3 linked regions of the Sus scrofa genome follow. The main gene of each other region encodes a partner of the protein of the gene in region 2 in a complex. Links are inferred from orthologs where the notes say so. Each region holds a gene or a part of one and is shown on either strand. Other genes may lie near its edges. The genes, in order: KAT7, BRD1 and ING5.

Region 1 (10,309 bases), on a different chromosome or scaffold from region 2:
GAGACCACATAGAGAACAGTGCCCTCCCATTGTGGCACTCAGTGTTCATGAAGTACAGTCATTAGAAAAAGACTCAGAGCTCATGTAATTCCTATCTGTTCTGAATATTTATAACTTTCAGGTGACCAGGGCATGGCTTTTTTTTTTTTTTTTTTTTTTTAAGGGCCACACCCGGTGGCATTTGGAAGTTCACATCCAGGGGTCAAATCCAAGCTGCAGCTGGCAGCCTACACCACAGCCACAGCAACGCCAGATCCAAGCCATGTCTTCGACCTACACCGCAGGTCACAGCAATGCCAGATCCTTAACCCACTGAGCGGGGCCAGGGATCAAACCCTTGTCTTCATGGATACTAGTCAGGTTCATTCCACTAAGCCACAACAGGAACTTTGGCATGGCCATTTATACTAAGAGCATTTATGCCCATTCCTTTGCATGTTCTGTACCCTCTGCCTATAATAACACTTTCTTGTCTTTCAACTTGTAAATTCCTCCTAGATCCTTAAAGATTTCCATCTCTAGGCTTCCACAGCACTCTATGCAAACCTCTCTCGCAGCCCTTAGCACAATGCGTTGCCATAAGAGTTGACATCCCACATTACACTGTGAGCTCTTTGAGGGCAGGAACTCCGATTTTTCTATCACAGTATCCCACTATGTTGCATAATACCTGAATTATAGCAACCGTTTATCAATATTCCCATTATGCCCCAAAATACAAACGTAGAAGTTGAGAAATCAAGAGACAATTATCTATACTTCAGCTGAAATATTAAATTCAAAGATAAAGTTAGGAATAACCACAGAGAGAATGTTCCCACTTTCTTGCTTGAAAAAACAGATGTTTCTCCCTCAGTCTGCAACACACTCATATAGCAGCAAAAAAAAAATCAGCACTTTTAAGTGCTCGGAGTATACTTCTCCCGCTTAATTTATCATCACCTATTGACCATCAGCTTTCTGTATTACTCACAACTTTCTTTCTTTGCCAGCGAATCTCAGAGCAGAGCCAAGACAGTGGGTACCCTCCAAATCTAAGACCAGATGGCTAACTGTACTAGAGAACCTTCCAACACCGAGATTCTCTATTCTTTACTACCATAGCAAAATTCTGGGTACTATTATAGTTGATAGTTGGGTCATCTGTATTGATTGTGCACCTGACTATAGTACAAAATTAAACATGGTTTTAAAGGTCTTAGGCCTCCTCCAATAGCACATTCGAGACACCACTTTATCAAGTTCCTAGGCCATTCTAACAAAAAGTGAAAAGATACCATTCTCATTTTATAGGGAAACTGTAATCCATAAAAAATTAAAAGACTCAAGACATACAGGTGTCACAAATGTACCATACCAGAGATAGTTCTTCCGGGTCTACAATTGGACAGGACCCCCAACAGAACCATCCTTAAGGACCTGACACTTTAGCAGTCATTTGCTCTGCACTGTACCAGATTCTGTCATCAGCATCACGTCAAGGGACCAGTTTCCACATGAACTAGCACAGTAACATGATGACCAGTGAGCTGTGAGGTGTGATCAGGAAGAAGGAAGCGGCCTTTTACCTTGGGAACTCTGGCTTAGCCGGGCTGAGGAGCGGGTGACTCGGGCAGATCGCCGGGAAGTGCCATCACTCTCTGAACTGTCTGTGTGCTCGAGATCTGTAGAAAAATCGGAATCTTCGGTTCCATCTGAACTACTGCCTGCATTCCTCTGTAACACCATAGATCCAGACATTAGCACAGAAACATTAACTCCGTGGGTGTGAAATAACACTGGAAATAAAACAAACTGTGATGCTGAAAACACCAAGCTCAAATCTAAGAAAGGACTCCACAGCCAATTTCCCTTCATTTAGAGCATTTAAATGGAACAACCTACGAATAGTGCATCTTTATTAAATAAATAAAGAGAATTAATTCTTACTGTATCATCATTAGTTCTGAAACAAATTGATTTGGAAACTGGAAAATACAGAACTCAAAATAGTCTGGCTGACATAACAATGCACTTATACAAAGTCCAGGGTAAAGAGAAAAATGTTAGTGACAGCCTCACTTAATTCTGGAGTAGCTTTTGCTCAAAGTCTACATAAACAGCTATTACATTTTTAAAAACCACACACTGGAATTCCCACCGTGGCTCAGCGGAAACGAATCCGACTAGGAACCATGAGGTTGTAGGTTTGATCCCTGGCCTCGCTCAGTGCGTTAAAGATCCGGTGTTGCCATGTGCTGTGGTGTAGGTTGCAGATGTGGCTCGGATCCTGCATTGCTGTGGCTGTGGTGCAGGCTGGCAGCTGTAGCTCTGATTAGACCCCTAGCCTGGGAACCTCCATATGCTGCAGGTATGGCCCTTAAAAGCAAAAAAAAAAAAAAACCAAAAAATAAAAAAATAAAATGAATTAAAAACCACACACTGATTCAAAATATCATGGTCTATAACTCTGATCTCAAACTTAGGGAGAAAAATAGTAATTCTTCTTACTTATGTCATCTCCCTTTGAAGTTTCTCCACATGTACCCCAAAAGTGCTTTTAAAAAGGGGGGAGGGAGTGGTTTGCAAACGAAGACACATGGGTATGCAAAAACAGAAGGTTTTTTAAAATCACCTTTACAGTTAATATTATTTGTCAATTATCAGCCTCCAGAGACACAATTAACCATAAAGATAACTTTTATCAATTAAGCATTAAACACTTGTTTGAAAAAACAGAAGTTTTTCTCCCATTTTGCAGCATGCTCATACAGCAGTAACCAAATTGGCACAATTTAAGTGCTCAAAGTATGTTACATTTTCTCCCTCAACTTATTATCACCTATTGATCATCAGCTTTCTGTATTAAATTCCAACTTTCTTTCCTTCCCAGGGAATCCTAGAGCAAAGCCAGAAGGGTTGGGGTACCCTCCTATGCTAACACCATACCCTTTATTAAACCATAAAGAGGAGTTCCCACTGTGGTGCAGAGGAAACGAATCCGACTAGGAACCATGAGGTTGCAGGTTAAGGATCTGGCATTGCTGTGAGTTGTGGTGTAGCTCTCAGATGTGGCTCAGAACCTGCGTTGCTGTGGCTGTGGCGTAGGCCAGCAGGTGTAGCTCTGATTTGATGCCTAGCCTGGGAACCTCTGTATGCCACAGATGCACCCCTAAAAAAAAAAGCAAAAAAAATTTTAAACCATAAAGAGAGATGCATTTGCTTAAAAAAAACATACAAGAAGCAAAAACAAACAAAAAGCCCCCTTAGGATCAGATGTGTTTAGAATTCATAATTTTTTAGAAAGGAATAGTCTGCATACATCCTGCAAATAACACCCTTTCTGCAGCAAAATATATGTACAATCACACTAAATGAGACACAAAAACTGTAAATAGCCTCAGAACAGTTTAGAACAGGTTCTGCCAAGAAATAAGTTACTAAAAAACACACATTTTCAAGAACTCTTTGTACTTGGGGATTGCAAAAAGGAGACTGTGGGCCTATTCCAAGACACCAGTACTATTTGGTGAGCCTTAACATAAATACCACCTATCAATGTAGGTCATTTTGGAGACATTAAAAAATGTAAATATTTGAAAGCCTCTGTGAAGAGAAAGATTTCTGCAGAAATGAGCAAGACCACCACCCAGCGTTCCAAATATTTCAAGGATAATCTGCCAGGAAATGAGTGGAGGATCCACAGAGAATCACCAAAAATTAAGATGAAAGGGGAGTCTTAAAGGTCATCCAATCCAATTACCCAGCTATTTGAATCCCTAATCATCTCTGCCCATCCCTTCCTGGCATGACCCTGGAGCTCAGCTCTCCTCTACTGCTTTCACCAACTACTTCCCATCTTACTCCAGAGCAGATTAAATTGCTCCACTTCCCTCCCATTAATCTTTATTACTGCCAAGTAGAGAATTTACTAAACCCTTCTACAGTTATTTAAATGTCTGTTTTCCTCTCAGACTCTGATTCCTTAAGCCAGTGATCATGTCTAATTAATTTTCGAGTCCTCGGCAACCAGCACATAGCGAAGAGTCAATAAACGTTTGTTGAACTGAATTAGATTTGTCCTGTAGTCCAGGCTCTGTCATTGCCTAATTGAGTGGCTTGGGGCACTCCCTTAAGCCTCTGCTTAGCTGAGAAAAGGGATGGGGGTGTCCCTAGATGACATCGTCAAGTCCCATTTAATTCTAGGAAGTTTCCGATTTACGAACTTCATTTTCTAGGCGCTGTCCAACTAAGCACATAAGGGAAAACCGCAGCTTAGGTGCAACAGGCCTGGAAGGGATCCCTCGGGAGTGGGCGCTGCTTCTCTACCACCCAGTCCTCTGCTTTGTTGTGTCCTCCGCGGGGAAAGGAAGGATACTCCCCAAACCCCGCCTCTCCTCCTATGAGCATCACCATACGGATGGGAGGGGACTCGTGCCACCCAATCGCGGTCCCGCTAAACCGCGCCCCCACAGGACAGACTGCCAAGCCCCGCCAATCAAGAGAAGAGGGATCGTTCTCTACATCCAGTCGGAGAGCGGTAGAGCCGGGCCTAGACACCGCCCCCACACGCGGGGAGGTGACCGTTGGGCCCAAATGGGCGGTGTCGCCAGCCAATCAACATGCTTCTAGACGTTTCAGCGACCAATTGCCGAGAAGAACGCCTCCGAGCCAGGCAAGCAGAGGGCGGGAATAGGTGCAAGCATAGGCCGAGGCCACAGTCGGGCCCACATTTTTCTGTTGGGTATGGACAGAAGCGAGGGTTGCTGAGCTAGGTTCAGGGAAGCGGGAAGTTGGAACCCAACCACTGTGAGGCGTGGCCAACTGCGTCACTCTTCTCAATCGACTGCCCTTTAGAAACCCGCCATCCCTCCTGTCCCGTTCCTCTCACCTTCCTTCGCGGCATTGCCGGCGGCTGCGGCCCGACGGTTCCGATTCGGGCAGCGGCGGCAGCAGCAGTGGGAACGGTGGCTCCGGCGGGCTCCGTGGCGGCCTCTGTAGCAGTCCCAATCCTGCGGACGATCCCAAGTGCCTCCTGCTTCACAGCGTCTAGACCTTTCTGCGCAGGCGCCGCGGGCTGAGGCGCTTTTTCCTCCACTTCCGGCTGAGGCTTGCGTCACCTGACGTTAGGGCCAGAGAGGATTCTGGGAGGTTTCCCCCTCCGGTGAGGCTAGCGGGAGCCATTTTGGAATTGGGCAGAAAGTGGCAGCGACAGTGGAAACTGGGGCCCGCCATTTTTAGTTAGGGGAATGGCATCCTCTGTAGGCGTGGGTAGCCATTCCTGTTTGGGGCAGAAGCCTGACAGTTGAAGTTAACAGTTCTCATCTTTACAATGGGCAAAATTTCCCTTCCCTTTGGTTTTAATTTCTGAAGTCGAGGAAAGAAAGCCCCAGAATCCATCAGGTTGCTGAGGTTTAACCCCTTAGTCGCCGAATTGGCTAAAGGACGTTTCCCTTTATCACATAAACTCAAAATTGGGAAGGGCTATTTTGCACAAGAAACTATTTTAAGAGCCATTCGGTGTCTCACAGTGCTGGGAATGGGGGCTTGTGAAAGGACAGAAAGAAGGTAGCGTCCTTCATGAAGAAGTTTCTTGTCTGGTAGAGGAGACATTGTCCTTGCCTTTAGCGAACCGCAAGTATGTTGATCCGTTCACTCGCGAAAGGAGACACAACCATTCTCCAGAAACTGTTGCTCCAAAGAATTACCAGTTTAGCTCTGTGGTGAGCACACCCACTTCGTCCCCTCATCCTGTATGGGTTTGAGAGCCTTGGGTGGCCCTCGGGATGAGTGTGTGTGTGTGTGTGTGCGCGCGTGCGCGGTACCAGAGTTGGAAAAGCATTGAACCCCATTAGCCCAAGTGACCTCTCGAAATCCAGACGCTTGAGTCAGGAGTTGGAGGAAGAGGAAGGAATATTTTTAGTAAAGCTGGAGCTCAGAAAGGCATTGATGTTAGCTGCCTAGAAAGGAGAAGTTGGTGGAAGATGTAAGGTTGGCAGAAGAGCGGTAAGAAAAGGCTGAGAAGTGAACAGCAAGCGTTGAGGATTTAACCTCGCTGGGAGAAAAGCCTTGTGTGGAGTAAAGCTTTGCCCAGAGACTGGGAGGAAAAAAAAAAAAAAAAAATCCAAGAGTCATTAAGTTAGGATCCTGGAGCCCGTTTCACCTGAGGCTAGCTAAGATGGAGATTTCCCCCTGGAGCTGAACTAAAGAACAAAGCAGCAGAAGGTAAACATCTGATTGTTGTGCTAAGCAGAGGACTCAGAAGGATTAGAGTTCCAGACCCTTATTTAGCACTCTCCTTGGGTGTATCCTGGGCTGGTAATAACACAGGCAGCTGTTAGTATTTAGGTTTTAATGTTTACCATAAACACCTTTAAATGGCCTACTTAGGTTGAACTGCACAAAAGAACTTATTTAATTTCACACTATTACTGTTATTTTGCACCTACTCGGGTGTTCCCAAGGTTACTCTTGGGTGTTCTGGCTCCCCAACTACTGGTAAAGAGCACTTATGTTAAGACCATATCTCGGGAGTTCCCGTTGTGGCCCAGTGGTAACAAACCCGACTGGTATCCATGAGGATGTGGGTTCCATCCCTGGCCTCAGTGGGTTAAGTATCTGGCATGGCCATGAGTTGTGGTGTAGGTCCCAGATGTGGAACTTCCATGTTCAAACTTCCATATGCTGTGCGTGCGGCCCTAAAAATAAAGTAAAACGAAACAACAACAAAAAAAGCGTATCTCTCTTCTTTTATACCATCCTTAATGGCAGCCAGACTGTGCTCTACCCATAGTAAATTCTTGTTCCTCAATCAAAATATGTTTACTGTTTCACACTGTCAGAATGTCTAGCCCTCAAAGATGGTGAAGTATCCCTCCCTGGGAATTAGCATATGAGAATAAAATCTTATCCTGACTTAGCCATTCATCATACAAATACCAACATTACAAATGTTCCACATTAATCCCTCGCACTGCATTTTCAAACACTGCAGCTAACACCGAAAGAGTTTACAGTTTCATTGAGACATGCCTTGTCCTTGAAGAGCATACCCTCCAGCAGAAATTAGCTCGTGATGCACGAACTGCTGGTTTAAAGCCTTTGACCGGGCCCCTGACAATCCTCATCCGCCAGACTTTGCAAAAGTGGTCCTACTATTCTCCCTGTCTTTGCGCTCTCACACAGGCTTTTCTTCCTGCCTTGATGCATCTCCCGACCATCTTTAAAATTTGCTTTCTTCAGAAGGTCTCTCCTGATGTATTCTTTCTAAGGTAGTAGGGCACAGTGATATGTTAGTTTGTACTTACTGATTTATATATACTTTACAGTTTGGTAGGTGTTCTGTTTCACTCCTCCCGAAACAAGTAATAGGAACATAACTCCTATTTATTTTATTCATCAGCTGTTCTCGTGTCCAGTACTGGGCTCTGATGTCAGATCTGGATTTGAATTTCAGTCCTGCTACTTTGTCTGCTTTGCTCTTGGACAAGTTTTAAAAGGTATTGGTGCCTCAGATTTCTCAGCTGTGAGGTCAAGATACCAATAGCCATGTCACAGGGCTGTTATAAGGATTAAAGGAAATGATTGTTGTAAAGCGCTTAGCACAGTCCCTGACAGAATAAGCGCTCAATAAATAGCCATTATTACTGATCATTATAATTTCAGTCACCCTAGTCATGGCTGGACTATCCTAATGATTGTGAAAAATAACTTTCCATAGTCTTAGTGGTTGTTTGTTTTTGTCTATTGAGACTCGCTTCAGTGCAGGAGGCTCCGAATGTTACCGAGGCATTATGTATTATATATTATATATTGAGTTAAAGCATTAAAACACTGTGTTTCGGGAGTTTCAGTCGTAACTCAGTGGTTAGCGAATCTGACTAGGAACCATGAGGTTGCAGGTTCGATCCCTGGCCTCGCTCAGTGGGTTAAGGATCCAGCGTTGCCGTGAGCTGTGATGTAGGTGGCAGATGCAGCTCGGATCCTGAGTTGCTGGTGGCTCTGGCGTAGGCCTGTGGCTACAGCTCCGATTGGACCCCTAGCCTGGGAACCTCCATATGCCGCTGGAGCGGCCCAAGAAATGGCAAAAAGACAAAAACCAACCAAACAAACAAACAAAAAAAACCCAACATTGTGTTTCCCCAGGCCAGGAAGCTTGTCGTTCCAGAGCACGACAGAGTATTAATGGAACAGCAGAAAGATAAGCAAAGTTCAGAAGTGGTACAGAGAAGGACACTGAGGGTTTGGAAAAGGATTCATACAGAGATGAAGTAAGAGTGGAACTTCACAGGACGATTAAGTTTGCCAATGGACCTGGAGAACAGGGGCTTTCCAGGCCAAGGGAACAGCCTGTGCAAAAGCGCAGACCTGTGGAGCAGGACTGTGTGGGGGTGACTAAGGGCATGCAGGGGTTGCAGTGATTGACAAAAGAAGAGGCAGGAATAATTTGGGGAACCAGGTCCTGCAGAGTCTTGAATGTTCTGCTGAGAAGCCTGAGCTGGAGGTGAGGGGACTCTCTGAAGGACTTTAAGCAAAGAAGTCTAACGACTTGACTTGCACTTTGTTTTTCATTTTTATTTTTTTGTCTTTCCTAGGGCCACACGCATGGCATATTGGAGGTTCCTAGGCTAGGGGTCACATCAGAGCTACAACTGCTGGCCTACACCACAGCTCACGGCAACGCCAGATGGTTAACCCACTGAGCAAGGGCAGGGATCGAACCCGCAACCTCATGGTTCCTCGTCAGATTCGTTAACCACTGCGCCACGACGGGAATGCCAACTTGCACTTTAGAGATCTCTATTTGGAAGCTGTGAGGAGGACTGATCAGAGTGGCAGTTAGAATGGTGCCATAATGGAGTTCCTGTCGTGGCGCAGTGGTTAACGAATCCGACGAGGAACCATGAGGTTGCGGGTTCGATCCCTGGCCTCGCTCAGTGGGTTGACGATCCAGCGCTGCCTTGAGCTGTGGCGTGGGTTGCACACGGGGCTCAGATCCCGAGTTGCTGCGGCTCTGGCGTAGGCCGGTGGCTAGAGCTCTGATTCGACCCCTAGCCTGGGACCCTCCATATGCCACAGGAGCGGCCCAAGAAATGGCAAAAAGGAAAAAATCATAATAATAATGGTGCCATAATGATAACTTACCCAGAGTGGAGGAGGAACCCAACAGGGTAGAGGTAGCGGGGTAATCTTTTATGTACGTTCTTGTGAATTTTCCTTCTCGTATCTGTATCTCATCTCCTCAGTTACATTTGAAGCTCCCTAACAGACCCTCAATTTCCTTTCAAATGCTGCCCTAGCCAGGAAAATGATAGGTACCATATTTCAAATACAAAGTGTGGTTGTTCATTGTTTGCTTCAAAGGCCTGGGAGTTCCTGGAGGTTGGGAGCTTTGCCTGGCTGGCCTCACGGCCTCCAGCTTCTTCCTTGCTGGCATCTAAAAGGGTTCAGTAAGCGATGTGGCCACTGCCAGGCGTTGGCTCAGTTAGGAAAGACTTGCACAGAACCGGCCACCTCCTCTCCCCTAAGTCTTTTTTTGACCAGGAGGGCTTGGGGACAGCAGTTCCCTCGGTGTGTAGATAACTGTCCCGGAAGGTAGGGAAACATGCCTTGACCTTTCAAAGCCATGCTAAGTAGCCGGGCCAATCGTATAACTTCTGAGTACAAGTATTGGCCCAGTCTCTATCCCTGTGGGAGATTCCCAGAGGTTGCTAATGTGACCATAATTCATATTAAGATCTTTTCACTTACAAGCTGCCTTAAAAATAGAGTCAGCGAGGTCACCTAGTGGTCCCGCCTTTTTTACTGGAGATGGCCTGGGACTTCTCTAACCTTCTTGGCCACTTGTTAATTTGGTTCTTGGATCACCTGATCCCCCCCTTCCCCCGCCCCCAGCCCCACTCTGGGGGAACGTATTGGACAGATCCCAGCAGGCTCAGGCACAGCTCCCCGCCTCTGCAGCTGGGGTTATAAATAACCACCCAAACTAAACAGTCAAATAATTGCATTTTGAAAATGCCTAAAATAAAAAAAAAATCACTCTGAACCTGATTCAGGAGCAGTTCTTCTCCCACTCCTGCCCTCCACCTCTCCCTTTCTTCCTCTTATCTAGCTCCCTTCCCTGATCCAAGCTCCCCAGGGAAGCCAATCTGAGTACAAAGCTCTCCGTACAATGAAGACATCCTTTTCCTTATTTGACAGGGCCAAAGCCCTCCAGGGCTGTAGTTATAGTTACGCAATGTTGTTATGGCAGCAGAGGCCTCAGGGCAACATATGTTCCTGAGTGGTAATTGGGTTTGCTTTAAAAGACTCTCTCTCCCTGGGTTCTCCA
Region 2 (10,028 bases):
CGGGGAAGGAAGGACAGGAGGGACACGGCCCCGCTCCGCCGCCAGCCACTGGGGCCGCACAGAGCCCTTCGCCAGCGGCTGTCGCCGCCCGTGCCCACGGGCCCCTCCCCAAACGCCGTCGGCGCCGCAGGGCACCCGGGCCTGGGCGCAGCCTTGGCAGCGCCCGAGCTCCCGGCCTTCGAGCCCTGGGAGCAGATCCAAACCCGAGCGACGGACTCGCAGAAGCCCTGGTTCTGCGGGACATGCTCTCCGGAGACGCGGCACCGGCAGCGCTTTCAAGGCGCTTGGACCGGACTGACCGGCCCCGTCGTGAGTCTGAGCTGCTCCACAAAGAGCCCGAGGCCGACGTGGGGAAACCGGCCAGGCCGCCACCGGCCACACACAGCGAGGACCCGACCCCCTGGGGCTGAAAGCCGGACCCCACGGGGCGGCCCCCTCGCCGGACGACCTGACGGCACAGCCCGCGGGAGGCCTGCTCCCGGGACGGACGCCCAACTGGAACCGCGCTACCACTTCCCCGAAGCTCAGGCCGGGGTTCGAGTCTCCCCCAGACCTCTGGGCACTTCAGGCTCTGGCGGGAAAGCGTCCATCACTTGCCTCGTGTCCCGAGCCACAGCATAGACGGGAGGAAACAAAAAGGACACGTCAGGGAGGTCCCATCACGGCTCAGCCGAAACGAACCCAGCCAAGATCCATGAGGACGCAGGTTCGATCCCTGGCCTCTCTCGGGGATTAAGGATCCCGCGTTGCCACGAGCTGTGGTGTAGGTCGCGGACGCGGCTCAGCTCCTGCACAGCTGTGGCTGCGGCGGTGGCCGGCAGCTGCAGCTCCGATTCGAGCCCTAGCCTAGCCTAAGAACCTCCGTATGCCACGGGTGTGGCCCTAGAAAGGTTTTTTTTTTTTAAAGGAGAAAGAAGGAACAAGTAAGTGGCAAGGGGACAATCAGAGGAGGAGACAAGCCCAGGGTGGGGACGGCCCTAGACTCCGTGCAGGGGTGAGGGGGCCCCTCGGGGTCCTGACCCCACCAGCACAGACCACTCCAGGCCCCGTCCGGACCGCCAGGGAAATGCCAGGGAACGAACCAGGAAAGCAGAGGCTGCCCCCACCAGGAAGGGGGCCAGCACCCCGCCCCACGCGGCCCTCGCAGCCCCACGCGGCTCTCTGCCCTGGTGTTGGCCTTCCTCGGCCACCCTGCTCAACTTTTCCACAAGTGATTTTAAAAATCCCACAAGAAGGGAGTTCCCATGGTGGCGCAGTGGAAATGAACCTGACTAGGAACCATGAAGTTGTGGGTTCGATCCCTGGCCTCGCTCAGTGGGTTAAGGATCCGGCATTGCCGTGAGCTGTGGTGTAGTTCGCAGACGCGGCTTGGATACCGCGTTGCCGTGGCTGTGGCGTAGGCCGGCGGCTGCAGCTCTGATCCGACCCCTGGCCTGGGAACCTCCACATGCCGCGGGTGCGGCCCTAAAAAGCAAAAAAAAAAAACAAAAAACCCACAAGATTCCTAAGATCGGTTTCAGCGATGCCCAGGTGGAAGCTCCCCGGCCCGAGAAGGAACCCGCGCCTCTGCAGGCACCTGACCTGGTACAGTGACAACAATGGATCGTTCGCCCACGAGCCCAGAGGGGGGGCTCCCCGAGATGCCCGCACTGCAGCGAGGGGGAGGGCGAGGAACAGCACTTCGTCCTGCCCGGTGGCGACCCTCGGGGGTGCCACGGGCCCCAGGTGCAGCCACCCAGGCCGCCACAACGGCCAGGGCACCCCGCGGCCGGAGCGGGCACCGAGGACACCACCGCCCTGCTGGTCTCACAGACCCGAGTCGCCGGCAACGTCCGCGTTCCCGGGGAGCAGCGACTCGGCGCAGCTGCGCAGGGGGGCCGTCACCCCGCGTGGGCCTCAGCGCGCCCGGCCTCGGGCCGCAGAGCCCGCCGCGCTTCCCTCTGCGGGGGGCCGCGGGGCACTTACCTCTGCGGGGGGATGCAGGGCGCGCACACGGGCGGCAGGGCGGCGCAGGGCTCCCGCGGTGCCTTCTTGGCCTTTTTGGCCTTCTTCCTGACCTTGGACGTGGCCCTGACCGTCTTGAGCGAGCCCTCCTTCCGGCAGACGCCGTTTCTCATCTCCGGGTCCCCGTAAATGTTCAGAGGCCTCCGGGTGCAGCCCGGGGGCGTGTGCACGTCACAGTAGGCGGTCTTCCTGACGGAGAAGGTGGCGGCGCCGCCCGCCAGCTCCTTCACGGGCTCCATCTTCATGTAGAGGCCGGCCTTCTGGGCGCAGGTCACGTGGAAGGCGGTGTAGCAGTTGGCCTTGTGGCACTGGATGCAGGCGCCCACGCCCTTCTGCTTGCAGAGGTAGCAGGTCAGCTTCCAGCGGGCGGGCGGGATGTTCCGCACGCCGTCGATGGGCTCAATGAAGACCGTGTTGGCAAAGCCGACCTCCGGGATCCACAGGGCGCACACCACGTGGCCCCAGCGGTCATCGTCCGTCTTCTTGAAGGCGCCCCCCTTGTTGGGGCAGAGCACGCAGTCGGCGGGCCGGGCGCGGGCCTGCAGGCAGTGGCGGCAGAGCCAGCGGCCCTCGGGGATGTAGGGCACGCCGTAGCACTCCTGGTGCACGGCCAGGTTGCACATGTCGCAGAAGAGGATGGCGTTGCTGTTCTGGCACTCGCCGTCCATGCACACGCAGCACACGGCGTCCTCGTCGATCAGGCACTGCTGCTCCCCCTGCTTCTGCTTCTCGCAGTGCGAGGCCTTCTCGAAGCGGTCCATCAGGAACTCGAACACGCTCTGCGACACGGCCGCCACGCAGTCGGCCTTGCGCTTCTCGTTGACCAGCTCCAGCCAGGCGTAGTCCTCCTCGTCCATGTCGTACTCCACCTCGTTGTCCAGCTCCTCCGCCGACTTCTCCACGAACTTGTAGTACACGGGCGGCCGCCGGGGCGCCGACGGCGGGCTGTACTCCACCACGCGCACCTTGGGCTCGGGCAGCGCGCTGGCCGAGGCGGGCACGCCGTGGGCGCTGGGCAGGGCCTCGCTTTTCTTCTTGACGCGGTTGTTCTTGTGGCGCTTGGTCCGCGAGCCCACGGGCGGCCGCTCGCTGTTCTCCTTGTTGCTGTTGCACTCGCTCATCTCCTGGGCGGTGGCGTCGTCCTCCAGCACGATCTCCAGGGGGTCGAAGATACTGATGCGGTGCAGGCGCCCCTCCATCTCGATCTCCACCATCCTCTGCGCCTGCGCGTAGGTCAGGGTCTCGCGCGCGGGGGAGGGCTTCGTGCTGCTCGGGGAGGAAGGGGGCCTCGCTGCGGCGCGATGACCTCGGCCTTTCCTCCTCATTTGGTACCGACTCCCTGAAAGAGACCAGGCACACGTTACCTCGGCGCGGAGGATGCGGGGGCGGCGCAGACTCCCGCGCTATCAAACGAACCCCCCGCTCACCGGTCCCTGAGGTTTCCAAAATCACTCATCCCACCAGGCCACCCTCCCCGGGGACTCCAGGGACCAGAGCGGGTGGGCGGAGGCGTGGCCCTGCAGAGGCTCCCGCGCCCACGGGTCCTTCCAAGACGGTCTCGGGTCCTTCCAGGACAGTCTCGTTTCCAGCGCTCGCCGGCCACCCTCTTAGGTCACCCAGCCAAGCACAACATCCCTCCCGAGCAGGGCTGCCGGAGAAAGCCCAGCCCAGAGCTGGACTCCAGGGGCAGGAGGCTGTGAGCACCAGGCCGGCCCGTGAGGGGCTCTGGTCCCCGGCGCCCCCCGCCCTGCTACAGCCCAGGAGAGCACCCTGGAGCCCAGGGCGCTGACCCCGGCAGTACCCCTGCCGGGAGTAACCCATCCTCCCAGGAACACGTTCCCCCCACACCTACGCGGAGGCACAAGGCGACCGGCCACCAGGACCCAAGAGGGAAGCCTTGCACTGGCCTGGGGGCAGGCTTCACCCCTGGGAGGCCCCCAGCCAGCCTCTACGGGGACTCAGGAGTGGCCGCACCGAGACCCCTGCACACCTGCCACCCCCACCACCCCGTGCCACACAGACTCAGGCACCTGAGATCTTGGCCATGGACTTGGCCGCGGACATTTACAGGAATTTACTCTCCTCGGACGTCTGCCATCTGTCACTGACCAAGCCTACGTTCCGTCTCCCTTGGAGGGAGACTCCTGACTCTGGACCACTGCCTACCAAGCAGAGTGGCACCTTAGACCAGGTGACAAGGACTCTCCACCCTCCAAACAACCACACCTGACTGACAGGAGGCAAAATGATGTTTAAGAGAGGAACTGACAAACATTTCAAGGTGGAGCCCAAGGCCCACGGCTGCCTGTGGGCCCGGGTGGCTGTCAGTCTCTGGGAAGAGCCAGCCAAGGTTCGCGCTGTTAAACCCCAAAGGAAATCCCAGCAGACGGACCCAAAGTGCGCTTGGAAGACGAGAACTTTCAGGCTGCGGTTTCCTTTTTCTTTCCTCGAGCAGAAACCTGTTTCACGTTAGACTAGCCGCCGCCCCCCCGCAAGGAGAAGCATGGAAAACACCGCAGTTGATCGGCCAGACCCTAACTCACCTGCACCCCAGCCCTGGACCCTGGGGAGCGGTCAGCCAAGCCACCACCAAGCTGGCCCTGCCAGCCCTTGTGAGGGAGATGGGCGAGGCCCAGCTGTCAGCCCCAGAGCCTGCACCCAGGGGATCCCCGGGCGCCCGGGCCCAGTTCAGGGGTCTTTACTGGGGCAGAGCAGATGCAACAGTTGGCTACTCACCAAGTTAAAAGCCAACATGTAGTTTTCTTCTCGACAACAGAGTACCAAGTGGCTCTAAGCACAACCAGCCCTTCAAAACCCCCGCTCTCCCGAAGGGCACGGCAGCTCTTTATCTGGCCACTTGGTCCAAGAGGAATAGCCCTCAAAGGCCACACAGCTCCTCATCTGACAGGGTCCCTGCCCCCGACCCGTCCTTCCCCTGCACCCACCAGCTCTGCTCTCGGCCCCGCTCCTGCCAGACCTGGGCTTCTGGACGGGACACGCATTCCCACCAGCAGACCGGCCTCTCCTTAAACGCTTCTGGAAAAGCCAGGAGGCCACAAGAGGGGCAGAGGGGCCGGGCGCCCGCGGGCCAGCTCCGCGGAGCCCACGCCAGCGCCGATGCTGCCTGGCCTCGGCCAAGCCCCTCCAGCTCTCCCGGGCCCGCAGGCGAGCAGGTGCCGGGCAGGAGCAGCCGCCCGCCCACCCGGCGGCGACGGAGCGGGCTCCGACTTCCGTCCTGCAGCGCGAGCGGCCCCGCGAACGACACTCCGCCGAGTTACTTCTTCAAAAGAGCCCGGAGGCCGCCGGGCGCCCGGCCACCGCGGCGGGGGCGGGGGCGGGGGCGGAGGCCGCCCGGCCCGCGCCCGCGAACACGGCGCTTCCTGCCCCGGCTCGGCCCCCCGAGCGCGCCCGTTACATAAGGCGCCCCTCGGCCGGCGGACCCCGGCCCCGGCCCTCCCTTCTCGCCGCCCGCCGCCCCGCCGCCCGGCCGCCGCCGCCGCCGCGCGGCCCCCGGCCTCCCCGCCGCCGCCGCCCCGGCCCCGCGGCCTCCCTCGCCCCTCCGCCCGCCGCCCGCGGACAATGCGCCGCCGCCGCCGCCGCCAAACATGGCGGCGCCCGCCGCCGAGAGGCCGGGGCCCGCGGGGCGAGGCGGCGGCGGGGCGGCTCGGCCCGCCCGGCGCACTCACCTTCGGGGCCGCGGCCGCGGGAGCCGGGCGGCGGGCGCGGGGGCCGGCGCGGCCGAGGCGGCGCTAATGGCGCCCGCGGCTCCTCCGCCAACGGCCGCGCAGGCCCGGCCCGCCGCCGCTCTGGGCGCGGGCTCCTGTCGGCGGCGGCCCGGCCCGGCTCTCGGCGCGGCGGCCGCGGGCTCGCGGGCAGGCGGCTCGCGCGGGCGGCGGGGCCGGACGGAGGCCCGGCGCGGGGGCCCGGCCGGCGGGCGGCGGCGGCGGCGGCGGCGGCGGCAGCGACGGCGGTGGCGGCGGCGGCGGCGGCGGCGGCGGCGGCGGGGCGCGGAGCTGCTCGGACGCCCGGGCCGGCTCGCTCGCTCGCTCGCTCCCCAGCGAAGCAAACAATGCGGCGAGCGCTCCGCCCGGCGCGCTGCGTGCGAGACGCGCCCCGCCCGCCGCCGCCATGACGCGCCGCCGCCGCCGCCGGGGGGAGGGGAGCCGAGGGCGCGAGGGCCCTGAGCGCCGGCGCCGCGCGGACGCCGGGCGGGGGCCGGGCGGGGGTCCTCCGAGGGGGCGGGCGAGGACGGGGGTCCGACCCGAGGATTGGGGGGCCTTCCAAGGGGGGGACCCGACGCGAGGGCTGGGGGGTCTTCCAAGGGGGGGACCCGACGCGAGGGCTGGGGGGTCTTCCAAGGGGGGGGACCCGACGCGAGGGCTGGGGGGTCTTCCAAGGGGGGGACCCGACGCGAGGGCTGGGGGGTCTTCCGGGGGGGGCCCGACGCGAGGGCTGGGGGTCTTCCAAGGGGGGGGACCCGACGCGAGGGCTGGGGGGTCTTCCAAGGGGGGACCCGACGCGAGGGCTAGGGGTCCGGGGGGGGGGCGGGGCGGGGACCGGGACCCAAGACAAGGCCTAGGGGGGCGCCGGGCCGGGAGGGGCGCCTGACACGAAGTTCTGGAGGCTCCTCTGAGAGGACGCAGGGAGGGGGAGAAGCTCCTGATGGGAGGCTGGGGGTTCCCTGGGGGGCAGGGGATTCAAGGAAGGGGGCATCGGGGAGAGGGGCCTGAGGGGATGAAGAGGTGGGACGCCAGACCTGGAATAGTGGGGCTTTGGGTGGGACCGGCCCAGTTGAGTGTTGAGGGCACCGGGAGTGCCAGGCTGGGTGGAATAGGGACCCATGAGCACCTGGCGGAGGAGACAGGGTTTGGGGGAGTCTGCATGTGCAGAGGGAGGGGGGCCGGCGGGGGGCGCGGCAGCTGGCCCTGCCCTGTCTCAGGTGTAGCAGGCCTGGGCCCAGGCAGCCTCCGTACCTGAGCCCCTCTCTGGGGTCCAGGTGAAGCCGAGAGGCCCCTGGGCGCTGGCGTGCAGAGGCCTGAGCTTAGCCTCCCACTGGCTGCTTCCACTTTGAACTTGGCTCAAACTCCAAAATACAGTGCTTTTGTGGCATTTGTCACCCCAAGATTAAGTCCCAAAATGTTTTGGGAGGAGGGAGAGGCCTAGAGGGTTCCTTGGTTTCCCTGAGGATTTGAGGTTAGTGCAGTGGCCCCAACGAGCCAAGGAGTGGCAGGTGGCCCCCAGCCTGCAGCTGGGGGCGGGGGGGGGGGGGCACGCAGGTTTCTTCTGAGCTGGAAAGACCTTTCCCTGCAGGGCACCTCCACTGCTTAGGGTCTCCTCCAGATGCCTTATGCAGAACGGGCGGCCCTTCCAGCCAAGTGTCCCAAGTGGGGCCTGTCACTGACCAGTGCTTGTGCCCCACTGCACACGGCATACAGGTCGAAAGCGAAGGCTGGGAGGGTGGGTTAGGACAGCAGCCAGTGTCACCTAGTGGTCAAGTTCCTGTGCCAGGTCCAGCCTGCATACACATCCTCAGGCCGAGGCGAGGCAGGGCCACCGCTGGGCCTGACCACATCTGCGCCAGACGAGCAGTTGCATGTGCGTCCTCTGCTCTTCCAGGCGTCTGTCGTCCAGGCCCAAGGGCAGCAGTGGAGGACTGCGCCCTTCTCCTCCCCAGGCCCGTCAGATGCAAGCCAGCAGGCCGGAGGCAGCCTCGAGAAGGAAGAGAGACAGGAGAGTGACTCCAGCAGGGGTGACACCCGGGAGGAATGGCCTGGAACTCCAAGGCCAGAGGGACTAGCTCCAAACCTTCAGAGGAAGGGCCTTTTTGGTTTTTTGCCCGTGTTTTACGGCTGTACCTGCGGCATATGGAAGTTCATAGGCTAGGGGTCAAATTGGAGCTACAGCTGCGCGGCCTCCACCACAGCCACAGCAGCCCAGGATCTGAGCTAGGTCTGCGACCTACACCAGAGCTCACGGCAACACTGGATCCTTAACCCACTGAGTGAGGCCAGGGATCGAACCCACATCCTCATGGATACTAGTCGGATTCTTAACCTGCTGCACCAGACGGGAACTCCTGGAAAGATCTTCTTGAATCAGACTGAACCTGACTGTCAGTTGGCAAAGGAGCGAAATTGTCAGCATTCTGAGAACTGAACCTCGAATTCCACACACAGTGAACAGCAAATACAAGTGTCTTCACCCCTGTAAATACTCAAGCTTTACCACATGCTAGATCTCTCAAAAAGGGCTAAAAGATACACCATCGCAAAACAAAAAGTGACTCCAAGAGTAAGCCCTGGATGCCAACCAAGAAACCAGCTTAGACTGTTCAAAGAAAGTCAAAGAACTCGAGAGAAAATCTCTCCTGAGCCCAACATGGCATATGGCAAGGAGGGGGAGCAGGAAGTCAAAACATGAAATTGCTTGTATTGCTAGGTTTTAGAATCAATAGAAAAAAGTCTGAAATACTCAAGTTTCCACTAGAAAAATTGAAATGAGATTTACAGATTTCAGGAGTTCCCGTCATGGCTCAGTGGGTAACGGATCCGACTAGGAACCATGAGGCTGCAGGTTCGATCCCTGGCCTCACTCAGTGGGTTAAGGATCCAGTGTTGCCTTGAGCTGTGGTGTAGGTCACAGACTCGGCTTGGATCTGGCGGGGCTATGACGTAGGCCATCGGCTGCAGCTCCGATTAGAGCCCTAGCCTGGGAACCTCCATATGCTGAGAATGCGGCCCTAGAAAAGAGAAAAAAAAAAAAAAAAAAGATTTACAGATTTCAAAACACCTGGGGGGAAAACTAAAATGAAAAATTGACAGTGAAAAAAAAAAGAAAACAGGAGTTCCCGTTTGGCGCAGTGGTTAACGAATCCAACTAGGAACCATGAGGTTGCGGGTTCAATCCCTGGCCTCGCTCAGTGGGTTAAGGATCTCGTGTTGCCATGAGCTGTGGTCGCAGACACAGCTCCGATCCGGAGTTGCTGTGGCTCTGGCGTAGGCCGGTGGCTGCAGCTCCCATCGGACCCCTAGCCTGGGAACCTCCATATGCCGCAGGTGTGGACCTAGAAAAGGCAAAAAGAAAAACAAACAAAAAAAAGAACAGCAACAACAAAAAAGAAAAATTGACAGTGCCAACAAAAAGCAGAAAGGAGAAAAAGGTAAATACCTAATAAAGAACGTAGCATGAGATGACAGGAATAAAACATTGAGTAATCAGAGACAGGATGGAGTTAAATTCACCTATCAAAAGACAGTCTCTCTAATTAGAACGTAAATACTCGGGAGTTCCCGTCGTGGCTCAATGGTTAGTGAACCTGACTAGCATCCATGACGCGGGTTCGATCCCTGGCCTCGCTCAGGGGGTTAAGGATACGACATTGCCCTGAGCTGTGGTGTAGGTCACAGGTGCAGCTCAGATCCTGCATTGCTGTGGCTGTGGTGTAGACCGGCAGATGCAGCTCCGATTGGACCTCCATCTGCTGTGGATGCAGCCCTAAAAAGAAACAAGAAAAAAAGAATGTAAATACCGTCGCGTAGTCTCTACAAGAAACACTCCTAAAAGTGTCACAGACACTGAACAGGAGAGAAATGATGTGACGTAAATTTTGTTCCTCAAAAGACTCTGAAGAGAACAAAGAACTGAAAACCAGAGGGTGTTTGGAACGGGTCCACTTTGCAAATGATTAGTATCCAAAATACAGAAAGAACCCTTCTAAATCCATTAGGAAAAGACACACAAGCCAAAACATGATGGGCAAATCCTGTCATTAGTCTCCTTGCAGAGAAGAAGGGCCAATCACCTCACTAGCAATGTTGGAAATTCAGAGTAAAACCACACCAAACAAGCACAGCTGTTAAAGTCACACTCCAGTCACAGTGACGGCAAGAAGGTGGGTCACAGCCGAGGCCTGCCCTGCCGGCCGGAACGTCAGGGCCACAGTTTTCCGGGTAAAGGACAGGCCATTCCCCGAGAAACTGGATGTGCAGCAGTTATCAGATGCTGCACAACAAAGCACCCCCAAA
Region 3 (10,154 bases), on a different chromosome or scaffold from region 2:
GAAAGAGGAAAAAAGTGCCTCTCACCCTCCTTTATGCTTCTTCTTCTTTGGGGTGTCTTCTTCTGAGGTCCTCCTGCCACGGCCCCGGGAGCCCCTCTTTTCTTTCTGACCTCGACCTTCTGAAACAACAAAGACCCCAGCTTTGTTCACAGAACTCACTGAAGCAGGACAAGATTTACCCAAATATGACATTTACCGTAATGTTCCTAATACACTTAGACAAAATTCTTCAGGACGCCATAGTTAACAACAACAAAATAAAGAAAAACTATGACTTGCTTTTTAGGCCCCGTCCTCCGGAGCTTTCAAAGTCGCTGCCCTCCATCTTGTCCTTCAGGTCCGCCTCGAAGCGAGCCAGGTCCGCGTCCAGCCTTCGGATGTGTTTATCCACCTACACAGAAGGATGCTCACACATTGCAGTCAAGCGAGAGGCGACGCGCCTCGGGACCCGCAAGGGCCCGAGTCCACCAGCAGCCCCGCCCGCCTGTGACTGAGGGTAGACTCACGAAGCTCCGCCGGAACAAGGCCCTCTCCTTCAGCGCTGATGCAAGGGGCTCTGTCCCCCGCACACCTGACACACCAGAGAGCCAATCCTACTCAGCCGAGGGCCGGGAAGGCAGGCCACAGGGGAACGACGCGGGGAAGTGCAACGGAATCGGGGCGAGGACCTTTGCTGCTGAACCCAAACTTAAAATGGGAAGAACACATAGGTTCCTCCGCAGAAAACGACTCTGAAGCTTCTGGTACAGGGTGGAGCCCGCGGGCGAAGGAGGACGCAGCCCGGTGCCCATGCGCACGGGACCACGCCGCGGCAGCAACGGTCCTTCGACGTCCCGAGGGACTGCACCGCCGCGGCAGCCACAGCCCGCAGGAGAGACCACAGCTCTCCAGCCTGGAGAGGACCGCCGTCTCAGGGCACGGTGACCTCGTGACAGCAGGGGAAGCCCAGCTCCTGGAAACGCTGCTACCGGCTCAAGCACGCAGGGACACCGCTGTAAGCGCCCCGCGCCCTGCAGGGCCCTCCTCGAATGCCGCGGGACGAGGGCTTTGAGAATCCTGTCTGCGAGGACCCGTCGTGGCTCAGCGGTTAATGAATCCGACTAGGAACCATGACGTTGCGGATTCGATCCCTGACCTCACTCGGTGGGTTAAGGATCCGGCGTTGCCTGAGCTGTGGTGTAAGTCGCAGACGCGGCTTGGATCTGGCGTGGCTGTGGCTGTGGTGTAAGCCAGTGGCTACAGTTCCGACTAGACCCCTAGCCTGGGAACCTCCATATGCCGCGGATGCAGCCCTAGAAAGAAAAAAAACAAAAACAAAAACAAAGAATCCTGTCTGTCTCACTGGCGCTGCCCTACAGCCTCGCGCATATCTCTGGACAATGGCTCTGTGCCGCCCTGTGAGCCCTGGGCAACGCTGACTTGAGCAGGAACAGGACGGAACTTTCCCTACCGCTGACAAAGGCAAAGCATTCAGCATGGACGTAAATGAACGGCTTCTGCAACCCAGTCAACAAGCAGAAGGGGCACAGAAGACCGGAGGGCAGCCGCGGCCCGGGGGGCACCCCTCCCTCGGACACTCCCTCCAGAAGCGCTGACCGGCTGCCCGCTGCGAGGAGGGGACGGAGCCGAGGGGGGGAGGGGCGGCAGAGGCCGGGCGGCCGGGCTCACCATCTCGTAGGTCTGCATGGCCAGCTGCACCTTGTCGTCGCTGTACTCCTTGCACTTGCTGTAGGCGCTCTGGATCTTCTGCAGGTGCTCCACGCGCTGGTCGGGCGAGAGGGTCTTCACCGTGGCAATGTACTCGGCAGCCAGGATGTCGATCTCGGCTTTCTTATCTGAGAGAGACGGTTCCGAGCTCGTCCTCGTGCCTGGAGGCCGGCCCGTGCTCACCGGACCGGCAGCCGATACAGCCCGACCAGAGCGAGTTCCAGCAAAGGAGCGGCCACTGCGGGGCGGTGGGCACAGCCCTCCCAGACACCACGACCACGTGCCCGGGACGGTCCTGGCGCGTGACGCCTGCCCCACCCGTGAGCCGGTGTCCTGTGCACAGGCGTGTACCCTGAAGGCTGAGTCCCGGACAGCCCGGGGCACACACTCCCAACTGCAGAAAACAGGAGACGACCCAAAGGAGATAAATGAGCCATGGTCCAGTCACACCACCGGACACTGCCCAGCCACAAAAGGACCAAGCAAGGGTCAACCCCACAAGAGGTGACGCTGAGAGAGAAAAGCAAGACGCAAAGGAACACACGCAGGATGACGCTGTTGACGCTGAGGGTGGGAACAGACACAACTCAACCGTTTGGTTAACAGGTGAAGAAACGTGCTGCAGGTGAAAACACAGGGCACGGCAAAAAAAAAGAAAAAAAAAGATATGACATAAAAGTGCACAAAAACGCAAAAGACCAAGTTTGACTTTTTTGGTTTGGGTTTTGGTTTTTTTGCTTTTTTAAGGCTGCACCCGCGGCATGTGGAGGTTCCCAGGCTAGGGGTCTAATCGGAGCTGTAGCCGCCGACCTACACCACAGCCACAGCAATGCCAGACCCGAGCCGCATCTGCGATCTCCACCATAGCTCACAGCAACACCCGATCCTTAACCCACTGAGGGAGGCCAGGAATCAAAACTGCATCCTCATGGATGCTAGTCAGGTTCACTAACCACTGAGCCACGAGAGGAACTCCCTAAGTTTGATTTTAAAGAATCATGGTGTGCCCACTGCGGCGCAGCAGAAACGAATCCAATCTATCGATGAGGATGCGGGTTTGATCCCTGGCCTTGCTCGGGGATCTGGCTTTGCGGTGAGCTGGGGTGTAGGCCAGCAACTGCAGCTCCAATTCAACCCCTAGTCTGGGAACTTCCATATGCTGTGGGTGTGGCCCTTAAAGAAAAGCAAAGAAAAGAGAATCAGCAGTCTCCCTGAGACACCACCCAGGGCACGGGCCTGGACAGCAGCCCCACACCAGGTCCCCTGCAGGACTGGTGCCATCCCAGGATCCTGGTGCTCCAGTCCCCAGGGTATCAGGGCCCAGCTCTGGCTGTGCTGAGAGGCCCGAACCCACCTTCCGTCCTCTGGTCCAGCTCTCGCATCAGCTGGAAGTTCCTCTGAAGTTCACAGGGAAGGTTCTCGATACCTGAAACACAAAGACAGGATTAAGATATCCTTTTTGAGCGACTTGTGCCAAACTCTGAACATGCTGGTAAGAGGCTGACACGCTCCAGAGGCTGTCAGAAGCTCGAGAAGGTAGAGGTGAAAGCAGAAACGAGGTGCAAGCAGAGGCAGGAAGATGCCGTGGGATTCTTCCACTCCAAGGCCCAGGTCACCCCTCCCCGGCAGACACCTCTTCCCAGGGAACATGTCCCAAACCCGGAGGCCCCCCCATCTCCCTCCACTTGACTCTGAACTCCAGGGCATCGGGGGCCGGCCAGTGCTGCACGTGGGACTTTATGAGGATGGAGCCACATGGAGCTACCAAGCCCCTGAAACGGGCAAGTATGCAGAGGGACTCAAGTTCTCCTCTTACTCAGGGTTATTTAAAATTAAACAGACGGCAACGGACAGCATAGGTGGAGGGCCCTGCCCCGCTGCTCTCACACCTGCACGCAGCCCTCTCAGTCCAGCCTCGGCCCCGCCGCAGCTGATCACTTTAGGAGCTACATCTGCTCCAAGCCCCACTCCCAGCCCACCCAGGGAGCAGCACAGATGCCATCCTGGCCTCCAGGCCCACCACGCCCTCGAGTGGACCCCCTGCTATCCTAGTGCGGCTGCCAGAACAGTGCCACCCCTGCACTGTCATGATCTCCTGGGCTCCTTCATGGCCTGGAAACTTCTATTTGCCCCACTCAATAGTGAGTTTCAGGAAAAGGAAGAATCATGTCTGCCTTCCTGGAACACAGCCGGCGCTCAAGGTCCCAAGCCTTCACACAGGAGCCCCACACAGGACAGAACTCAAGTCCCTCAGTCCCTCCACAGGGGCCCACCAGGCAGGCTCCAGGCCAGAGAAGGGCAAGCCGCAGTGCCACCCAGCAGACACCTAGGGCGGGCCCCCTAATGACACTGCTGGGGAAACCTCTCCCTCCACTGTGTTCTCCCACCCAGGACCCTGTGCTCACGGGGGGCCAGGTGAGCAGAATAAACGGCCAGGACTGAGCAACCCCCTGGGAGGGCTGGATCCTCGCCATCTTCCCCAGAGCAGGGGGTCACGCCCTACTCTCAGCAACCTCGGGTGGAGCTCCCAGCCCAGAGTGACTCTGAACACCCAGTGCTCCAGAGCCACCTGACCCAGCCCCCACCCAGGCCAACTCCCAGCCAGAGCCAGGCAGCAGTGTTTAAAGCTAGGGTCTCCACTCTCCAGTGCTCAACTGTGACAAGCTACTAAGCCTCTGCAGGCAACACCACCCCCTCTGTGAAAAGCGTGAACAACCACCTGCTCAGGAGTCCTCCAGAGATGGCTATGGCTCAGTGGTGATGACCACTGCCCTGAACACCCTACCCAGCCCTGGAAGCTGCGCCCCCAAACCCCCTGCACAAAGACAGGTGCCCTGGGGGACCCTCCACATCAGTATGCCTAGTAGATGCACAAACTGGGACTCGAAAGCAATTCCCAGGTCACAGCACAAGTAGGCAAGGAATCCAGGCCCTCCAAGCTCGCCAGGCCCTGGGACCCCCAAACCCGGCCCAGAGTCCAAGAGGACTGGGTCTCAACCACCTTGGTGGGCCACCTCGGTGGGGAAGAGCAGGGAACCAGGTAAGGCAAGGCCCCGCTGGGAAGGAGCGAGGCCCGGTGGAGAGGGCGGGGCATACGTCGAAGCGGGCGGTGCCTAGGAGGCGGTGGGCGGTGCCTGGTCGCGGGCGGAGCCTTCGGTGAGTGGGCGTGGTCGGGTCGGGAGGGTAGGGCGGGGCCGCGCTGGCCCCGCCCCGGCCGCGCCGGCCCCTCCCCGCCGTGACGCATCTGGAATTGGCGCGGCCGTGATGGCGGGACCCCGTGCCGCGCCCCCTGCGCGCCCCTCCCCCGTGGCCCCGCCTGCCCCGCGCGCGCCCCCGCTGCCTTTGCCGCCGGGCCGCCCCGCCGCCCCCACGAGCCCCGGGGTCCGTGTGCGGAGCCTGACGCGCGAAGGAGGCGCGGCGGGGGCGCCCCGGCGTGGGTGGCGGGCCTGGGTGGGGCGGGGGACGCTTACTGTCCAGGTAGTGCTCCAAGTACATGGCGGTCGCCATCTTCGTCCGCGGCCGCGCTCTGGGTCTGCGCGGGCGGTGGCGCCGCGGGAGGCGGAGGCGGGGCCGGCGTGGTCACTATTAATGAGCCCAGCGCGCTGATTGGGCGGACGCCGGGGCGGGGCTCCTCTGGGCACGCCCCCCGGCTTCCGGTCGGGGTCGCGGCGGGGCGGTCGGAGCAGGTGCGGGGCTGCGAGGTGCGCGAGCACGCTCGGCCTCTGGAGGTTTTCGGGGGCTGGTGGGGGTGGCGGGTGGCGCCGTTTCATCAGCGAAAATGCCGGTGTAAAGATACACCCCTTCTGTTGAACTCTTCCGTAAACCCCAGGCAGATATTTAAAAGTGGAAGCACATTCATTGTTTTGTCAATTTTACCTTCGTTATAGAAATTCAAGCTGTTCAGGGAAAGGAAAATTTCCAACCTCCCCAAGGAACAGAACTGTGATTATGTTGCTCACCTTTCAACCAAATGTTTGCAGTTTCCATGCAACCGTTCTGGCCCGATTCAATGCTTGATGTGAAACTGCACACACACGCTGGCGGAGCTAATTGCATACTACCCACTTTCTTTATTAAGTAGGTGTTTTTATTAATAACTTTATTTTTAGAGCAGTTTTTGGTTATCAGAAAAATTGAGAAGGAAACAGTTCTTATATACCCCCTCCACACACACACAGTTTCCCTTATGAACATTTTCGGAGTTCCTGTCATGGCTCAGAGGAAACGAATCTGACTAGGAACCATGAGGTTGTGGGTTCGATCCCTGGCCTCGCTCTGTGGGTGCAGGATCTGGCGTTGCCGTGAGTTGTGGTGTAGGTCTCAGCCATGGCTCAGATCCCATGTTTCTGTGGCTGTGGTGTAGGCTGGCAGCTGCAGCTCCAATTGAACCCCTAGCCTGGGAACCTCCAAATGCCACGGATGTGGCCCTAAAAAAATAAAAAAACATTTTCCATTTCTGGGGTACATTTACTACAACTGATGAAACCATATCGATTTTCCATTAGGAGTCATTCTGTGTGGTAAGACTATGTTAAGTACCCACCAATACAGTTTCATACAAAATAGTTGCTCTGCCTTTAAAATGGCCTGCTCCACCCATGCATCTCTCTCCCTGCCCCAGCCCCTGGCTTGGTCTCTGGTTCTGCCTCTTCCAGACTGTCATGTAGTTGAAATCAAACAGCATGTAGCCCTTTCAGATTGACTTCTTTCTTTTAGTAATAAGCTTTTGGGGGGGCGCACCCATAGCATGTGGAAGTTCCCAGGCCAGGGATCAAATCTGAGCTGCAGCTGTGACCTGTACCACCTATGGCCACAGCTGCAGCAATTCCATATCCTTAATCCACTGTGCTGGGCCAGGAGTCAAACCCAGAGCTGCCACAGAGCTAACCCTGGACTCTCAACCCACTGCGCCACAGCCACAGCAGGAACTCCAGTAATATGCATTTTAAGGTTCCTCCACGCCTTTTCGTGACTGAATGGCATCTTCTTTTTCTTTTTTTTTCTCTTTAGGGCCGCACTCAAGGCATATGCTGCCGGCCACGGCCACAGCCACACAAGGTCCAAACCGCATCTGTGACCTACAACACAGCTCATGGCAACACCGGATCCTTAACCCACTGAGTGAAGCCAGGGATCAAACCTGCATCCTCATGGATCCTAGTGGGGTTCATTACCACTGAGCCATGACCAGAACTCCTAGGATGGTATCTTCTTAATGCTGAAGAATATTTCATTGTCTTTTTGTCCCACGGTTTATCCATTCATCTATTAGACATCTTGGTTGCATCTAAGTTTTGTCAATTATGAATAAAGCTGCTATAATTATTTCTGTACATATTTTTGTGCGGACATAGTTTTCAATTCCTTTGGGTTAATACCAAGAACCATGATGGCCGGATCATACTGTAAGATTATATTTAGTTTTGTAAGAAACTGCCAAACTGTCTTTTTTGTCTTTTTGTATTTTTAGGGCCGCACCCACGGCATATGGAGTTTCCCGGGGGGGCCTAATTGGAGCTACAGCTGCCGGCCTACGCCGCAAGCCTCAGCAACGCCGGATCCGAGTCTGCGACCTTCACCACAGCGTGTTCCTAGTCAGAATCCTTTCTGTTGCGCCAGGACGGGAACGCCTTTTTTCTTTTTTCCAAACTGTCTTTCAGAATAAGCTGTACTATTTCAGGTTTTTTCGTTTTGTTTTGTTTGTCTTTTTGTCTTTTTAGTGCCCCCTCCCGCCCCCGGCCTATGGAGGTTCCCAGGCTAGGGGTCTAATCAGAGCTGTAGCCACCGGACACCAGATCCTTAACCCACTGAACAAGGCCAGGGATTGAATCCAAATCCTCACGAATTCTAGTCAGTTTCATTAACGCTGAGCCATGGTGGGAACTCCTCTTTTGCCCACTTTTAAAACTGAGCTATTGCTTTTCTTAATTGGTGAGTCACACAATCCACTTTGCAACTATTTACTTTCTTTTTTTTTTTTTTTTGTCTTTTAGGGCCACACCCGCAGTATATGGAGGTTCCCAGGCTAGGGGCTGAGCCTACACCACAGCCACAGCAACATGGGATCCAACCCCCATCTGCAACCTACACCGAAGCCCAGGGCAACACCAGATCCTTAACCCACTGAGCAGGCCCGGGTTCGAAACTGCATCCTCCTGGATACTTGAGGATTCTTAATGGCTCAGCCAACGGGAACTCCTATACCATTTACATCTTTAACTTAATTCTCCCAATACGCCTCAGGCGTCCTGGCGGAGTTTCCCCCGGTGTTACGGTGCGGGCCACCGGTGGCCGTAGCTCAGCAAACCGCGCGGGTGAACGCCTGTTGATTGTCTCCAATTTTTCATCACCTTAAACAGTGCTCCATTTGTTCATAGACCTGCACATACCCATCGCCTCAGAGTAAACGACCTCTATTTTTATTCATTTTTCGTCTTTTCGAGGGCCACACCCACGGCATATGGAGGCTCCCAGGCTAGGGGTCAAATCAGAGCTACAACTGGCGGCCTACCCCACAGCTCACGGCAATGCCGGATGCTTAACCCACAGAGCGAGGCCAGAGATCGAACCCGCACCCTCATGGTTTCTCGTCGGATTTGTTAACCACTGCGCCACTATGGGAACTCCTAAACTACCTTTAAAACATAGTGGTTAAAAGAAGCATTTTCTTATAGCTCACAATTTTCATGAGTCCGGCGTTCCAGCAAGGCTCACTTGGGTGACTCTTCTAAGTGATACAATGGAGATGGCTGGGGTGGCTGGAAGGCTGCATTTGACTGGTACCGTGGACCAGAGCACACGCACGTGGCCTCTCCAGCCCAATGGTACCTCTTAGGTGGCTACTCAGGGCTTCCAGAAAGTTCTGAGAGGCCCTGGTGGAAGCCGCAAGACCTCATCTTGGTCACCCCAAGACATCACCTGACCACATGCTATTGGTCAAGTGAGTCCGAGGGACCAACCCAGATTCGAGAGGAGGAAGGTTAGACCACGCCTCTCAATGGGAGGAGCAGCCACTCTGTTGTCTACGGCTCTTTAGATAAATTCTTCAAAACTGTTTCGCTAGCCCAAAGGTCAGGTTCTAAGTGCCAGTCTTCTAAACGCATTGCCTGAGGGAAGCTAATACTGACACTTGACTGAGTGGGTTTTCACTTTTGCTAACCCTAGATTTCACCAGGCTTTCTTATCTTTGCTCCATGTGATTGCAAAAAAAACTTCAGTGTTTTGTGTTTCTTTGATTTTAAGCGAGACTAAACAGATTTGCACAACTTTGTTGGCTGTTTGCAGTTCTTCCTTCATTTTTTTTTTTGTCTTTTTTTTTTTTTTTTTTTTTCCTTTTTTTAGGGCTGCATCCGCGGCATATGGAGGTTCCCAGGCTAGGGGTCCAATCGGAGCTGTAGCCGCCAGCCTACACCACAGCCACAGCCACTCGGGATCCGAGCCACGTCTGTGACCTACACCACAGCTCACGGCAAGGCCGGATCCTTAACCCACTGAGCGAGGCCAGGGATCAAACCTGCAACCTCATGGTCCCTAGTCGGATTCGTTAACCACTGCGCCACGACGGGACCTCCTCTTCCCTCATTTTTACGTCCTTTACTATCGACTGTGGGCAAACTGGTCTTCACGCCTTTCATCTGAAAGAAAATCCTTTGCGATCGCAGCAGCCTTTGTCATGGATCATGTGATGAAAACGACTCCATTCAGAGAGCAGTTTGTCTTCTTTTGTTCACATAAGAATTGATGAATTTTCTTACAAAGATGCTTTTGGTCACTGCAAAAATGAGAGATGACTCCTAGAGTTCCCGTCATGGCCCAGCGGTTAACGAATCTAGCATACACGAGGACTCGGGTTCGATCCCTGGACTCACTCAGTGGGTTAAGGATCCCCTGTTGCCATGAGCTGTGATGTAGATCACAGACACGGCTTGGCTACCACATTGTTGTGGCTGTGGTGTAGGCCAGCAGCTACAGCTCTGATTGGACCCCTAGCCTGGGAACCTCCATATGCCAAGTGTACCACCCTAAAAAGCAAAAAAAAAAAAAAAAAAAAATCAAAAATGAGAGATGAGCCCTTACTTACTTCTACATACTTTAGAGAAGGGTTTCCCAATCTTGGGACAATGGATATTTGGGCCCAAAACCTCTCTGGGGGGCTCTCCCGTGCTGGTAGGATGCCAAGCAGCACCCCCGGCCTCACCCACCGGGTGCTGTTACTACCCCCCCACAAGGTGTGCAGATCAAAATGTCTCCCAATTCAGAACAAGTGCTTTAGGGCAAAGCTAAGCTACACTAACAAAGAAGCCCAACCAGGAGGTCCTGTCGTGGCGCAGTGGTTAACGAATCCGACTAGGAACCATGAGGTTGCGGGTTCGGTCCCTGCCCTTGCTCAGTGGGTTAAGGATCCAGCGTTGCCGTGAGCTGTGGTGTAGGTTGCAGACACGGCTCGG

Evidence for each region.
Region 1: the proteins of BRD1 (region 2) and KAT7 are in contact, whole or in part, in a crystal structure (PDB 5GK9), measured with the Homo sapiens proteins. The link is inferred for Sus scrofa from reciprocal best matches to the Homo sapiens genes BRD1 and KAT7. Residues at the interface, in XP_047297239.1 of Homo sapiens: Val40, Ile42, Glu43, Ile44, His49, Arg50, Ile51, Ser52, Ile53, Phe54, Asp55, Pro56, Leu57, Glu58, Ile59, Ile60, Leu61; in NP_008998.1 of Homo sapiens: Leu531, Phe534, Gly536, Lys537, Glu538, Ile539, Ser540, Ile541, Lys542, Pro552, Val553, Val556, Gln560, Leu565, Tyr567, Lys571, His572, Leu573, Val574, Leu575, Lys576.
Region 3: BRD1 (region 2) and ING5 share a complex: the UniProt entries of both Homo sapiens proteins name them as parts of the MOZ/MORF complex. The link is inferred for Sus scrofa from reciprocal best matches to the Homo sapiens genes BRD1 and ING5.

Annotation. Positions count from the first base shown.
Region 1 is NC_010454.4:25,965,695-25,976,003, reverse strand, and holds the start of KAT7 (histone acetyltransferase KAT7), read right to left. Parts: upstream 4,848-10,309; 5' UTR 4,239-4,847; coding exon 4,206-4,238; intron 1,717-4,205; coding exon 1,569-1,716; intron 1-1,568. UniProt on the Homo sapiens protein: Catalytic subunit of histone acetyltransferase HBO1 complexes, which specifically mediate acetylation of histone H3 at 'Lys-14' (H3K14ac), thereby regulating various processes, such as gene transcription, protein ubiquitination, immune regulation, stem cell pluripotent and self-renewal maintenance and embryonic development.
Region 2 is NC_010447.5:770,050-780,077, reverse strand, and holds the start of BRD1 (bromodomain-containing protein 1), read right to left. Parts: upstream 5,772-10,028; 5' UTR 5,691-5,771; intron 5,394-5,690; exon of another isoform or gene 5,007-5,393; coding exon of another isoform or gene 4,982-5,006; exon of another isoform or gene 3,344-4,981; coding exon of another isoform or gene 3,330-3,343; coding exon 1,966-3,329; intron 1-1,965. UniProt on the Homo sapiens protein: Scaffold subunit of various histone acetyltransferase (HAT) complexes, such as the MOZ/MORF and HBO1 complexes, that acts as a regulator of hematopoiesis.
Region 3 is NC_010457.5:140,259,841-140,269,994, reverse strand, and holds the start of ING5 (inhibitor of growth protein 5), read right to left. Parts: upstream 5,288-10,154; 5' UTR 5,215-5,287; coding exon 5,178-5,214; intron 3,134-5,177; coding exon 3,062-3,133; intron 1,836-3,061; coding exon 1,669-1,835; intron 392-1,668; coding exon 280-391; intron 120-279; coding exon 26-119; intron 1-25. UniProt on the Homo sapiens protein: Component of the HBO1 complex, which specifically mediates acetylation of histone H3 at 'Lys-14' (H3K14ac) and, to a lower extent, acetylation of histone H4. Component of the MOZ/MORF complex which has a histone H3 acetyltransferase activity.